2 linked regions of the Mytilus edulis genome follow. The protein of the gene in region 1 interacts with the protein of each later gene in a pairwise test. Links are inferred from orthologs where the notes say so. Each region holds a gene or a part of one and is shown on either strand. Other genes may lie near its edges.

The links.
Region 2: the proteins of exocyst complex component 7-like (region 1) and pre-mRNA-processing factor 19-like interact in a two-hybrid assay, tested with the Homo sapiens proteins (2 studies listed by BioGRID and IntAct, with this or other methods). The link is inferred for Mytilus edulis from reciprocal best matches to the Homo sapiens genes EXOC7 and PRPF19.

The regions. Positions count from the first base shown.
Region 1 is NC_092352.1:1,656,842-1,663,930, forward strand, and holds the start of exocyst complex component 7-like, read right to left. Parts: upstream 3,104-7,089; 5' UTR 2,997-3,103; coding exon 2,946-2,996; intron 765-2,945; coding exon 599-764; intron 514-598; exon of another isoform or gene 455-513; intron 22-454; exon of another isoform or gene 1-21. Other genes in the region: WW domain-binding protein 11-like, read left to right, coding at 3,522-3,585, 6,160-6,191, 6,436-6,529. UniProt on the Homo sapiens protein: Component of the exocyst complex involved in the docking of exocytic vesicles with fusion sites on the plasma membrane.
Region 2 is NC_092349.1:80,858,173-80,865,868, reverse strand, and holds the start of pre-mRNA-processing factor 19-like, read right to left. Parts: upstream 3,062-7,696; 5' UTR 3,021-3,061; coding exon 3,002-3,020; intron 1,765-3,001; coding exon 1,615-1,764; intron 677-1,614; coding exon 600-676; intron 1-599. UniProt on the Homo sapiens protein: Ubiquitin-protein ligase which is a core component of several complexes mainly involved pre-mRNA splicing and DNA repair. Required for pre-mRNA splicing as component of the spliceosome.

The DNA of each region.
Region 1 (7,089 bases):
GTTAACAATTAACTAGTCAACCTGAAAAATTTCCAAAACTTCATAATCAATGATAATGATCAATGAATCATGAATGTTTGGTCATTTTAATGCCAGGTCTAAAATTTCACATTTTTCACTTAATCACAAAATGTGGTTAAACTGTTGTTAAAACTATTATATATTAGAAAGTTCACAAAAATATGGTCACACTGGCATGAAATAAAACATTTTATACATTCCTTATAATATAAGTTCCAAATGGAAGAAATATTACAGTATTTGTTTATATAAACAGAACGAAGGTTATAGGATATTTGTTCCAAAAGGAACAAATATTATGGTGTTGTTTATTATCGAGCATCTGAGCTAACAGGGGAACTTTTGTAATGTAGACAAATATACATTGATAACACCATCCTTCTGATCTGTATTTTGGATAGTTCATTAAATCATGAAAAGATGATGTACATACTTTGTATCTTTGTTCTGTACTGAAGTATCCTAGACATCGATCTAACATCAGAGCTTAAACTAAAACATGATCAAAGAACCATGAAATTAAGGTAGCACAATAAAATACTATACATTTTTATAATTTTGATTATAAGAAGGATACTCTCTTGTCTGCGTCTCAACATTTCTGTTTCATTGTAAACAGGTTCTATTGTACTTTCTAACTTCTGTAAACGATTCTCAAAACTATTAAGTATCCCTAGCATACCATGGGTGTTTGTTCTACTTTTGTTCATGGCCTCTTTAAGTATTGACAAATTGTTCTTCTCCTAAAATAATATAATTGACATAGTTAGTATTTATTTTTTTTAAACCTTAAGATTCTTCAGTTGACAGGTCAATGGATAGCTATAGGGTTACAATTATTTGCATGCAGAAATGTATCAAAAGTACCAGAAAATTTTAATAGCTGGGGCCACCCTTAAAACAATGTTTGTTTGGTATTGCCGACTCACACTATCAGCAGGTGGGTACATTAGTTTTGACTGTTTGAAATACTGGCTTCACAGGCTGTTGAAGAGTTACAATGTATGCAAATAATACATAGAAGAAATTATCATGGACATCTGATAGTACAAAGTAAAATCGCAAAAATACTAAACTCAGCGGAAAATTCAAAATGGATAGGTCTTAATCAAATGGCAAAATCAATGCACAAAGGCATCAAATGAATGGATAACAACTATCTTATTCCTGGCTTGGTACAGGCATTATCTTATGTAGAAAATGGTGGATTAAACCTGGTCTTATAGCTAGCTAAACCTCTCACTTGTATGACAGTCTCATAAAACAAGGATGCTATTAAAACATGTTTTCCTTGTGGTAAATGAATAACATGGTGTGCCACTAGTGTAGCAGGACCTGTCTACTCTAACAGGGGACAAGGCCTAAAAAAGCTGCCTTATCCATAGTTATAAGTTAGCTTTGCGTTGTGTGTCTTAAATTCATGTAAATATTTTGTTGACCAGTGTTTGTCATTTTGTCTTTTTTTCTCTTTGACCATACATACAATATGTAAGTACAACTACAACAGCAATTTGTATTTGTCAATTCAAATGTGCTTTATCCTAGAATAATTAGACGTCACAAATCATTTCACAATATCCTTAGACCAATTGGGCAGTTCATTGATTAAATCTACTTATTACATATATATTAGAAACTAGTCTATTGGGAGGCAAGAAACAGATTTTATTTTACCCCATTAATGCAACAAATAACATACTGAAATGTTTCCTGCTACGTAAACATTTTGTACATTGGAGGTTGATAAGGTAGTTGCACCAAATAATTTTATTATTACAGATTGGACAATTTCCATGTGATAAATTATAAATCATCCCTTTGTAAATTTTACGGAAGCCATCACTAATTAGTTGACCGTTATCATGGTTATGGAATATCAATTTCACAGATGATATACATGTAGCAGATATGAGCCTTATGTGGTAAGTAATTTAGTACAAGCCTGTTCCCTTTTCAAGAGTATGAAATACTGCTTTGACTTAAATATGACATGTACATGTATGACCTGGTTTCTACTAACATGAGAAACACAAGAGGTGCCGTACGTGGAGCAGGATCAGCTAACACTTCCAATGCACCCGCGATCTTCTCCAGTTTTTAGTGGGGTTTGTGTCAATTAGTCTTTATTTTTTTATGTTGTGTTTGGTGTACTACATGTAGATTTGTCAGTCTTTTTTGGTGTTATCAGTTTATTAATAGACCAGCAGCTGAAGTGAGCTGTTCCATGTTATCAATACATCGTATCCCTATTTGGAAATATGTCCCGTTTGACCAGAGAATCTGCTCCGCTTGAACTATTGACATCATGTAACAATCACTTTTCAATTGTGGCTTCAGATATTTTGTATTATGACGTCAAAATTTAACAGGAACCTTTGTGATGTCCTGTAATGAGATGCAAATAGTATATATGGTACCTGGGGAACTGGTTCCACTGTCAAATTGTATATAGAAAGTTTGAATGACTGTAAAAGTCCATGGATGTATGTATGTTGAGGGCAGCTAAGAGGGGTCCTGATCCCGAAATCACAGGCTTAAAAACACGAAATCCTGAGGTCCTGAATATAAATAAATTCGAGTTTCAATGTGATCCTGAAATCCTGAGCTTAAAAACACCTGATCCTGGAGTCCCGATAAAGATCCTATCCTCCCACTATGTTGTTATATGAGAGTTAATGTTTTTTTTTCTAGTTCTTGAGTCTGCTTTAAGGTTTAAGTGAAATTGGTTACCCTTTGACTAAAATGGCTGCGTTTTCACCTCAAAATTTGCAATGAGTACAGACAAACATCTGCATCTGGAAAATTTGAAAGTCATAGCAACCTTATGAGTATGACTGATCAGCTGCTGATGGATAGCAAATGTTATGATCCACCCATATAATTTCAATCAAGGCATCATGAAAAAAACTATAGAAAAATCGTACTTTTTCAAGCTTCATGTCGATGTCTGCTTTGAATATCTTTGTCTGTGACATTTTGTGGTCGCTTATTACTCCTAAATGGCAAAACAAAGCAATTTTCTTGAGCTTCCTGGGAAGCAGACAGCTAATTTTTATGCATTCGTAGTCAATTTGATTTTTGTGTAAACCATAACAATTTTCCTTTGATAAAGCATCAAAAAGAGCAAGACTATGTCGTAATATTTTTTTATTTTATTTTTATTAAATACAGAAATATTTTAAGATATAAATGCGTTTTATATTAATTCAAACGGTATATTCAGCCTATTCTTATATGCAAAAAATTAACAATAACAAAACTTTTTTATTTGCAACATTAGCTCCACTTACGGCAAGATAAAAATGGAAAAAAATATCACGCTTTAAATTCGACGTTTAAATGAATATTGTAGTATCAATTGAGCAGGACTACAACTTTTATCAATTTTCAGATATGTTGTTGGTTTCAGTTTAGCACTCAATCCTATTTGCAAGTTACTGCGACTGACAGCAAACTTTGTAACATTATTTTGAAGTTGGTGTCATCACGCAGATACCAACATGGGACGCCGCTCAATTAACACCACTAAAAGTGGGAAATATATGAATCCCACTGACCAAGCCAGTAAGTACCCTATAACTAACAATTTTTTTAATTGAACTTCAAAAAGAAGACTTATAAACACAATTCAAACAAGCATCAACATGTACATTGTACAACGATCCATCAGCACATCGCAAAGAGACATGAGAGAAACATACAAGCATATACTACCCTTGATAACCAATTCACTTTGAAAACTCATAAACCTAAAAAAACAGCCTATATATATATATATATGTAGGACTTAAAGTGCAATGTGGACGCTAAAGTACGATGGTCACGCTAAAGTGCTATGGTCTTTGCTAAAGTGCGATGCCTACACACGCTAAAGTGCGATGGTCAGCGATAGTATAGAAGTAATAAACGTACTATGGATTATGACGTGTCGTTTATACAAAAAAAATTAACATGCTGAAAGATAAACGTAGAATATTTGATTGACAACTTTAGCCAAATGTCCATGACTTACTTAATTTAAACCTACCCGTGCTTTGTCTGCTGATGCAAATGGTTTTTTTTATCGGGTGCTGGAAGAAGGACTTGTGTTGTCACGGAATAGAAGTTCCTTCATAATATAAGTTCCAAAAGGAAAAAATATTCTGGAAGTGGTATAGAATATTTGTTCCAACAAGAAAAGATATTATGACAATGTTTATAACAAAGTTTCCATTGGAACTTCTGTTAGGCAGAACAAATATACGTTGACAGTGTCTTGCATTTTACTATACAGATACAAAATAATACCAGTCTGCACAGTTAGCCACTAGTCCGATGCCCAAGACTAGTAAAATTTTATATGGACTAGTAAGTTATTGCAAAACTTTGTTGGACCAATAAGAAAAATGTTGGAATATTGGTCTTCATACTAGTAGTTGAAAAAGTTTTTGGTGCAGACTGTTATAGCCACAAGTAATAGTATACTTTTTCTTGCTTCTATTAGAAGGTAATGTTAACTGATACATTGAAATCATTGTTTATGTTACAGTTTACTTTGCGGTCCCTGTTAAAATATTGTCAATTTATTGAAAAGTCGGTAAAGTAGAGGTACATGTTTTCATGCATAAATCATAAATTGTCTGCTAAAGCATTATTTTGTACATTTTAGGAAAATACAACCTGTATTTGTACTCGCTGTGAAAAAGGAGAAAGCTCGGAGAACATTGCATTTCTCTCTCATTTGAATTAAGATTTAAACAAATAAATGTTACATGACATGAATGAACGAATTTTGTATTTGTAATTTACGATGACAAGGTGATCACATAAGGGATAGACTACATGTACATGTGAACTGCAAGCTATGCTAATTATCAAAATATTTGATATGCCTGAATTTAAAAAAAAAATCCTACTAGCTTTTGCAAAAAGACTATTAATTAACATCTGTGTTCTTTTTCTTTTTTTTTCCATCCGTGTTCTTCAACGTTTTTTGCCAGTCAACATTACCCTTTTGGTCCATCACACTTCAGTGTGATATTCCATCGAACTTTAGCAAACAAATATCCATCGCACTTTAGCGTGATACACCATCATACTTTAGCGTAGACCATCGCACTTTAGAGTCCTACATATATATATTATAAGAAGTAGATTAACAAAAAAACTGAACCCCAAGGCAAAAAATCCCTTATTAAACAGGAACTTTTGTGATTTTACTCATTGAGAGATAAATTTGCATACAAGTGTAAATACGTCTATCATGTCTATTGGTAAAAGCAGTATAACACCATATTTTATTTTCAAGGTAGTTTTTCGGAAACATCTATTTGTTATCTGGTCATTACTCTATTCTTGGGAGTTCTCTTGGAAATCTTAGGACCCTTATCAAATTGCAAAATTAAAAGATCAAATCCATTAAATGAATGTAATTCCTGACTTGATACAGGTATTTTCTTGTGAAGCAAATGTTGGATCAAACTTGGTTTATGAACTGTTCCCAGAAATGCAAACTGATATCATTTATCCATAATTGTTACAAATTAAAGTTTGGACCAAAATAACTGATTTATGATTAGTACTCTACCTGTTATAGCTATATATATATATATACATGATATATACTATGGTTCATTATCATCTCTGATCAGGCTGATGATCAGGCTGAAAATCAGTGCTGATCAAATATTTTTTCATTTCTCTAAAGAAACATGTATTTGTAAAAATAATAAAGAACAAATTCTTTTCAGTAATTGCCCTTGGATAGATAAAATATGTGCGACACAGGGGACATTGGAACTCTGCTCTTTTATATATACAATGTAGCTTGTTAAAGATAAAACCTCTCTCGTGTAACAGAATAACTAGTAATTTTGTTTGCTCTCTTGATGACTTTCTAAGATCATACTCTTTATCTTACAATGCTTATGTTATTACCTTTCAGTAAGAACCAGTTGTTGGATTATGTCATTTACAACATGTACAACATCTCCGGTTGGCTGGTGCAACTCATTCTTAATGACAGAATTTTTGGGGTTCTATTTATCATGTTTATGAGTGAGTTACATAAAGCATTAAAGAAAAAAATGATTCTTTTATCATGCTGGTTGTTGAAGTAAATTAGTGTTAATGTCTTGTATCATATTTCTATTTTTACAGGAAAAGAGGCAAGAAAGAGGGAATTAAAAAAGGTAACTATTTACCATGTTTACTATAATTTCAGCTTTTAATTTATAAAAAGTTGCTGTTCCCGTTATTTCAGATCAATCAAAATAGCCCTGAAATTTATTTAAAATTTTTAACTTTTAACTTTTGTCCAATGATACATATATATGATAAACAATTCATGTTTTATAGTTTGATATGTATGTCAATTAAAAAATTATTGTAAAATTTGTTTCCCTTTATTTGAAATGATTTATGTTTTAATTGTAGAACAAGAAGCAGCGTATGCTAGTACGACAGGCTGTATTAAAGGGAAAAGATCCACTACAGTTACTGACAGAGATGGAAATTATCGACAAGATGGGTAAAAAATATAAACTTGAAATGATAATTATAGTAGAAATCAAAAACATGTGGTGAAAGTTATTAATCCACACAAAAAAAACTGTAAAAACCATTATACTGGACAACATAGAAATATATTAAAACCTCAAACCAAATTCCAAACACACTCTATAATCCGCTATTCAGTTTTATTCTTGACATCTATCAAATAGTAACAATTGATGGTGTAATAAAGTTTTTTTTCATAAATATACATAATCTTCATATTCAAAGTTAGAATAGCAAAATAATAGAGAAATTATGTATTAATGATAAATAATGTATACTAACAAAATTATAAGTATATACCTGAGGATACCCTAGTCTTAAGGTACTACCTGAGGATACCCTAGTCTTAAGGTACTACCTGAGGATACCCTAGTCTTAAGGTACTACCTGAGGATACCCTAGTCTTAAGGTACTTATACACAGGGATCTCCACTGAAATAGCTGTACAAGTGAAGAAATCTGTTAACAGCATGTGCCATTATATTGTTGTTGAATAAGAAAAAATCAAAAAAATCATAAACCAACCAACTT
Region 2 (7,696 bases), on another chromosome or scaffold:
TATAGCTGACTTATATAAATCCTGAAACCAAATTTCAGAAATCCTTGTATTGTAGTTCCTGAGAAAAATGTGACGAAAATTTTCAACTTGGCTATCATGTGTAAAATCATACAAGTGTTCGGTAAACATGAAGTTGTTGAGTGATCAATCTGAAAATGCATCACACGGTATAGCTGACTTAGATAAACCCTGAAACCAAATTTCAGAAATCCTTGTATTGTAGTTCCTGAGAAAAATGCGATGAAAAAAAATATTCATGGGACTGACGGAAGGACAAACAGAGGTAAAACAGTATACCCTCCCTTTTTTAAAGCGGGGGTATAATAAATATTCTACATGTTCTATATCTCAAAAAAATTCAAATAAACCTATAATTATTTTTTCTTTTAAACTTATGGATTGTAAATAGGCTAATGATATTTTTTGAATCTTCATTTTTAATTTGAATATATATCCGCAGCAAATCTCATTAAAGTCACTTCAAAGCATCTGAAAGTTATGAAAGTATACAACCAGACTTAATTAAAACAGATAAACTAAATGTCTGAATGTTTGTTTAATTTATATAGATTGGGTGTTAAAACAGATAAACTTCTTACCCATTCATCTTGTAAAACCTTCAAAATGGCTGGAATACTAGTGGCAGAAGCAGGTCTTGGTTTTACTAGAGGGTTAGCTAAAAATAACAAAATACACTTGTAATATATTATCCAAAAACATGACGAACTAATCATTTACATGATGAATTTGTTCAATCCATTTAATGATCTTTATTGTTTCTTTCTAAAGAGAACACAGATGTTCACATTTACAATGATTTAAGAAAGACTAATATTATCAGAAAGCATATCCTATGAGATAATATTAAAAATCAGTAAATTTGGAATATGCTTTCTCTTTTTTTCTTGGTCTGATGTAAAAAGGATTGGTCAAATCAAAAATTTGAAATATAAACAGGAGCTTTTTATCTAATGTCAGACTGAGAGTTCAAAATAAACAAAACTGTGAAACAAGAATTGATTTACTTTGTAAACAATTTTGTAAATTTCGATGAGGTTAACTAAATATCACTCTACCTATATGTGCTACAGGGGAAAATTGTATGTTGACCTCTAGATGTCTTTCAATTATTTTTGTGATTGGATTATTGTTGCACTGGGAAATACCCAGAATCTTCTTTATTTAAAGTTGTTCACCACTCAGGACGTTGATTCCTTTGGTCAATAAGAATGACTGCAATGACTTTTTCTAAATATTACATGCAAACTTTTACTGCTGCATAATCATGATAATGTTTGAGAGCATTCTTTTTCAGTATTAATTATATTTTCTATTAAGAGTGCATATCTTTAAAACCTCCTGAATTCTGTACCATTTTTATAAAGGGTCCATGTACCTTAATCTTATATTTCAATATACTGTATTATGTTATTAGGTCATTAAATAACCTTTTTTCTCCATTTCATACATCGTTTATGGTTCATGTCCTCCTTTTTTATGCATGTACAGGAATCCTGTAAGTGTATTTTCTTTTCTTTCCTATTACATGTCCCCTTTTGAAAGCATACACTTGAATTTTGTAAGTTTATTTTCATTACAAGTCATGCTACTTACCTTTTATTTCTATGAGTGTTTCTACAGCTACTGATTCTCCATTCATTGGATCAACTCCATTCTCCTTTATATATTTCTCTATCAGTCTTTTCTCATAGACATGTCCTGACACAGGAGATATAACTGGCTGTTCTGGAACTTCATTACTGACTAAAAGAATATGTGTCATTTGTATCAACAATAAGCAATCATTGCTTGATTCTCAATATGTTCTAAGCTTTCTTGATGAGAAAAGCCTATTCTACATGTACTTGTGTGCTTTTATAACCAACTATACAGTATTGTTTTTCTCATAGTTAAAAGCCATATACATGTAATTTCTTACTTCCTATATTATTTGATCTTTGGTGGATAGTTGTCATACACCTTATTGCTATTTGTCCGCCAAAGATCAAATAAATCGGAAGTACTGTATAGTTGGTTATAAAAGGCCCCAACATGAAAATATGAAACAATTGGACATTGGTCATTGCAAAGGTTCCCAGAAAATGTTGAAGTCACATCAGAAAATATCCGACACCACAATGGAAAAGTGATTGTTGTATGAGTCAAAGTTAAACCCATGTTAAAACTTGCATCAAGCAGAATGTAAAGATTTTTGGAAATCGTCTAGAGAAACATTGGAAAGAACACCCAATAATAGGCTCCTTCACGGTTAGTTCAGCCATATTGAATAGGGGGCAGATTGTCACTAAAGAGATAAAAGTAGTGTGAAAAATGAGGGAATACATTGTTAAAATAGAGCAGTTGCTTAGAAACATGCATAGGATTTCCCATACTTTCATACTGTTTCCAACTCTTTGATAAAAATCTGCCCCCTATCCAATATGGCTGAACTAACTGTGGAGAGCCCTATTTAAAACTTTGACACTGAATACACCTATAACACCGGAAGTAGCACAAGTGTAGTTAGTGACGATGAACCAGAGCCAAATATAGAGGATCAAACTGATCTCCTGTGTATGGAAAAACTTAGGTAGACAGGTAGATCTCCGAATTGCGATAAGGTGTTTTGGCATCGTACCGTAATCTCCTTATTTTCAAAAGGCAATTCAAATCATTTAGGTATTCAATTACATGTGACATTTCATTGGTGTTAACAAGATTTCTTTGAGATTGAATGTTTGATGTTACCACCTCAACAAAATGCTCATTTATAAATTTGTATCCATAAGCATCATTTTAATCTACGATTCTCATGCCTGTTTTAAGCCGGCATGGCAAGCATGTTGTTGTATGGTGTGTATTTTGAGAAGTACTGAAATATAAATTGAATGTAGACATTCATTGATATTGTGTTAACTTGTAGCGATTGCTGAAATGCAGTAGATGTAATTGGGATTCGAAATATATGAGAAAACATTAGATTTTTCTTTTTCTTTCTTACTTGCACAGCAAAGCGCCATTTTGAATATGTCACGTGATGAAATTATAAATTCAGATCTATAGTCGGAAATTAATCCGGATAATAGTGTGGCCACTAAAAAAAAGTCCACATCGATATATAAATATAAAAAAAAAATAGATATGATATAGGAAAGCACTAATATCAAAATTTGATGGGTGATTGTTATTTAAGAAAGCTTGTTCTAATATTTAAAGGAAATATTGTTAAAAACTTATGCATGGTGGGGTCAACTTAATTGCCAGTAAAAAGTAAAAGTTCCTTCAGACCCCTCCCCTAGATTTATTTTTGTGAAAAGCGAAGATGTTATTCATCATCGCTTCATTTAATTTTCTGACGAGGTGAACACAAAGAAAATAAAGTGACTGGGGATATTTTTTTGATAAATATCGATTTTACTGGAAATGATAGGACATTTTTTGAGTGGGAACTCTTTTATGTCCACTGACTGTATATCATTTTAGTGACATATATGTCTCGGATATTGGTCAGTCCCAGAAGAATCAATAACCGAAAAGATAGGGGTTTTTTTATTGTGAAAAGACATAAATATGACTTATGTTAAAAAAAATACCAGTCAATAAATTCATTTAAATTCTTTACTTATAGAATCTTTTATTATTCCAATTTCTGATAATCTATAGTGATTCATTTCTAACCATCGATAAAGTCTCAATGCAATCCTGGACTATTCAGTGTACTTAATAGTAATATAGTTCCATCAGTATAGAAGTATATGTTAGTACTGATCTAGAAAAAATATAAACGAAGCATTCTCGTCCCCAAAATACAATGCAATGATTGAACTACAAAGCTACACTACTGGTACAACCGTTACTAACAAAAAGGCAGCGCCTATTAGGGCCAAAAAAAAAAGATTTACTTGAAAGACAAATTCTATTACATGTATGTACCTAAGTATAAATATTAACGTAAAAAGCTCAGTGTTAATTATGGCACCCTAAACGGAGTTTGGGTGACATATTGTTATTCTACGTTTCTTTTTTTCTTATTATTTTATTTATTCTTCCACACATTTTGTCCATGCTATTTCTCAGAATTGGCTTGAACAATATTGATGGAACTATACCATAATGTAGACCACTATATGAAATTGTGCAAACGGGGTATGGCATCATCAAGATGGCTGCCGTTGCCATGGAAACTGATAAAATGTGAAAAAAAATGCAATTTCTAAATCTTTCATTATAAGATCTAGCTGGATGAAATTTTATGGTAATGTTCCTTGGTATGCCTAGATGTTGTGACAATATTAGGAAATCCCAAAATGGCCACCATTGTCATGGAAACAGGGCAAAGGTTTAACATTGGCCCTAAGGGAAAACATTTTGAAGCTGCAGTTCCTGCAAGAATATTAAATCAAACCTTCTACAACTTAATCAATATGTTACATGGCATGTCTCAAAGTTGCTTCTGTCTTTGAAATTTTGGAAATGGTACCCGTAACCATTGAAATAGCAAAAATTTCAAAAATTTCAAAATGCTCCAAAATTGACGAAACTTTACAAAAATGTTAATTGGCATGTGTATATGTTATCTTTGACTTTGAATTTTTCAAAATGGCTGCCGCTCACCTGGCAATGGGGGAAGGGTGCCATCCGTTATTGCTAGCAATTACAAATCTAGTTGACATTGTTTTTATGAATTCTTGTCAGGTGGGGTGTCTTACTTCCGCAAGAAATCTCCATATTTGTGATACAATTAAGTGAAGCGTTTATGAGAAAGTGTCGTAAACAAAGTATAGAAATCATAACTGTCAACGGAGACAAACAAACAAACTGTCTAATACTAGTACATAAAAACAAAAAGCGTTTAAGGCTGATGGAAAAGTTAATATCTTACAATATTTGAAACCTAGATTTAAAAAAAAAAGATTTCTTGTGTTATTTAGGAAAACATGTCTCAAGTCAGAAAGCTCTGGCCTTTGTTAGTCTTGTGTGTATTTCTAATTTTTAGTTCGTTTATATGTTTCGGAGTTTAGTGTGACGTCCATTTTCACTGATTGAGAACTAATATACACAATTTTAATTAGGGACCAGATGAGAACCACCTCTGGGTGCAGTATTTTCTCGCTATGTTGAAGACCCATTGGTGGTCTTCAGTTGTTGTCTTGCTCTTTGGTCGGGTTGTTGTCTCTTTGACATATTTCCACTTTCCATTCTCAATTTAATTATAGTTGATGCCTTTGGTGTTCAGTAGCATCTTTAAGTTCAGTCGTTGTTAAAACACGTTCTTCAGCGATTTTTCTGGAAGAGGAAGTAGGTACGCACTTACTATAATTTGCTCACTGTTGCTATCTCAAAATTGATTTATATCAGTAATAAAGTACTTAGAAAACACAATGCCTCACTCGGCGTGGTCGCATGGTACCGTGGACTGGATCAAACCAAAGACTTGAAACTTGAGTATTTGCTGCTACTCCGCTAGACGCGTGACACCCTAGCTAGGAGTAAGAGCGAACATGTCAGCCTGGATTATGATTAACGTGTCTGGTTAGGGTGACTTGTCTTCCTGAGGACTGTTTTAGATCGTGTCTCGTGAATTAGAAGCTTAAAGTTCGGCTCAGCATGCAGGTCTTGCACAAAGAAGGGTCCATATTCATATCGCATTATAATGTACTCGCCCTGAATATATATTTGATTTGCATGCAATGGAAGTTAAATTTTAACAGCCATCCATATATCCATATTATAAAAAAAAAACAAAAAAAAACAAAAAAAAACAAAAAAAAAAAAAAAAAAAACAGTATTCCGAAATATTTCATCGCGGGTATCATCAGTGAGCACTAGCTCACAGTTTTACTTGTGAAACCTGCTTTAACATGAAATACAGTAAAACCTACAAAAATGTAAAAAAAAGAAATGTTCAGAATCCATATTTTATTTTTCTATATTTACAGAGGGTACCAATTTTCATAGATTAAACCAAAAAATGCATTTTCGTGGATATTTGGATTTCGTGATTTTACAAAAGTCTGCATACAAGTCTATAGAAAATTAGTGGTTTGTTGAACATTTGAATATGTGGTTCGCCTCTACTCACAAAATCCATGAAAATTTGTTTCTTACAAATAATATCGAATCCATATTATTTTGGTTGTTTGTGGAGTTAGGGTAGCCCCTTCTTGCCCTCTCAAAACCATTTAAATGGAATAGTCCTCATGCTTGTCAATTGTAAGAGATCATAAATTAGGCTTTGGTTTAATTGTAATATCTGGTTGCTATTTTGTAGATATTTCATTCTAATCTCCTTTTGTTCATATTGAAGGAGATATAAGTTGACCATTGTAAACTCTCGAAGTGTTCTCAATGTGTTAAATGTACTGGGTACATGTAAAACAGAGAAAACCTACAGAAAAACAGTTAAGATGGTCATATTTTATTTTCACATAAAAACAAGCCTTTTGGTTTATTCATATAACATATACATTAAACTAAAGGCAACATTTTTGGTGTAATACATTACATATAGCTATCATTTCTTCATGAGGCCAAGCAAAATAAAATTAGAGGGCCGTATTGTCCCACTTGATCATAATATTTTATATGAGAACATAATGTACTTTGTTTGTTATGGCTTTTAGAAAGGGCTTCTATTTCAAATTGAAAGTGAAAAAAATAAAAAATTTCCAAGAACACTTTTTTCATACTCATTGGTGGCCGGGTGTGAGAGCATTTGATCTTTAATTTTGTTTGACCTGCGTTATCAACATCATTTGTATGAATGGAAGTGGTAAACATATGTATGATGAGATAGAAATTATTTTATGTTTAGTTTGTTGACTTTTGTGTGTTGTAGTTGTTACAGCAGAAATATGTCAAATACCACCAAATATTTTCATTTTATAACAGTCAGTTGTACTATGTAAAGAAGGAACAATCCATTTTGATATGTAATTCTGTAAAGACAGCTTTGTAATCAAGAATAAACAAATGTATAGTGATGGTTGTTTTTAATGGCTTGAAGTTTGCCTGGAAATTACTTGTTCATGTGAATTTTACAGCAAAAATATTCAAGTGTTAACCAGCATTTATTGCAGTTGGTAAATAAAATAAATTTTATTTATCAAGATATATTTTATAAATCATTATTAAAATCAATATAGCTCAGACTCTATGTTAGAATAACATTTGTTACATAAGAGCAATTTGAATACATGACATTTTCAGCTCTTAGATATTGAAAAATAGAAAAAAAGAAAATTGGTTAAGACATGATAATATTATTTACATGAACAAAGGTATCAGGATCAACAGCTTTATAGATGTACCTTGATAACTGAGCAGTGTTGACCATTTTATATAGCTCTTGATAAGTAGATTTGTCTTCATGCCAGTATGATTTATATTGTAATTCCTACTGTAAGGGGTTTCATACTTGATTGTTGATGTTATCTACAGTATTGTGTCAAAAGTTGCAGTTTTAGGTAAGTGGTCAATTTGTATATACAAATGTAACTGTTACTACTGCTTTTTAACAAATAAACACTTGGTGTTCTTATTGTTCTTATTTTTTCCAAATTTTGAGAGGACTACAGTACAGTTTCAACAAAAATTAAAGATTAGACAATGACGAAGAAAATTGGCGAAGACGCATTGAAAAATGTGCATCACCTGACTATACATTTCTTTCATTTGTCAAAATTTTGAAAGGACT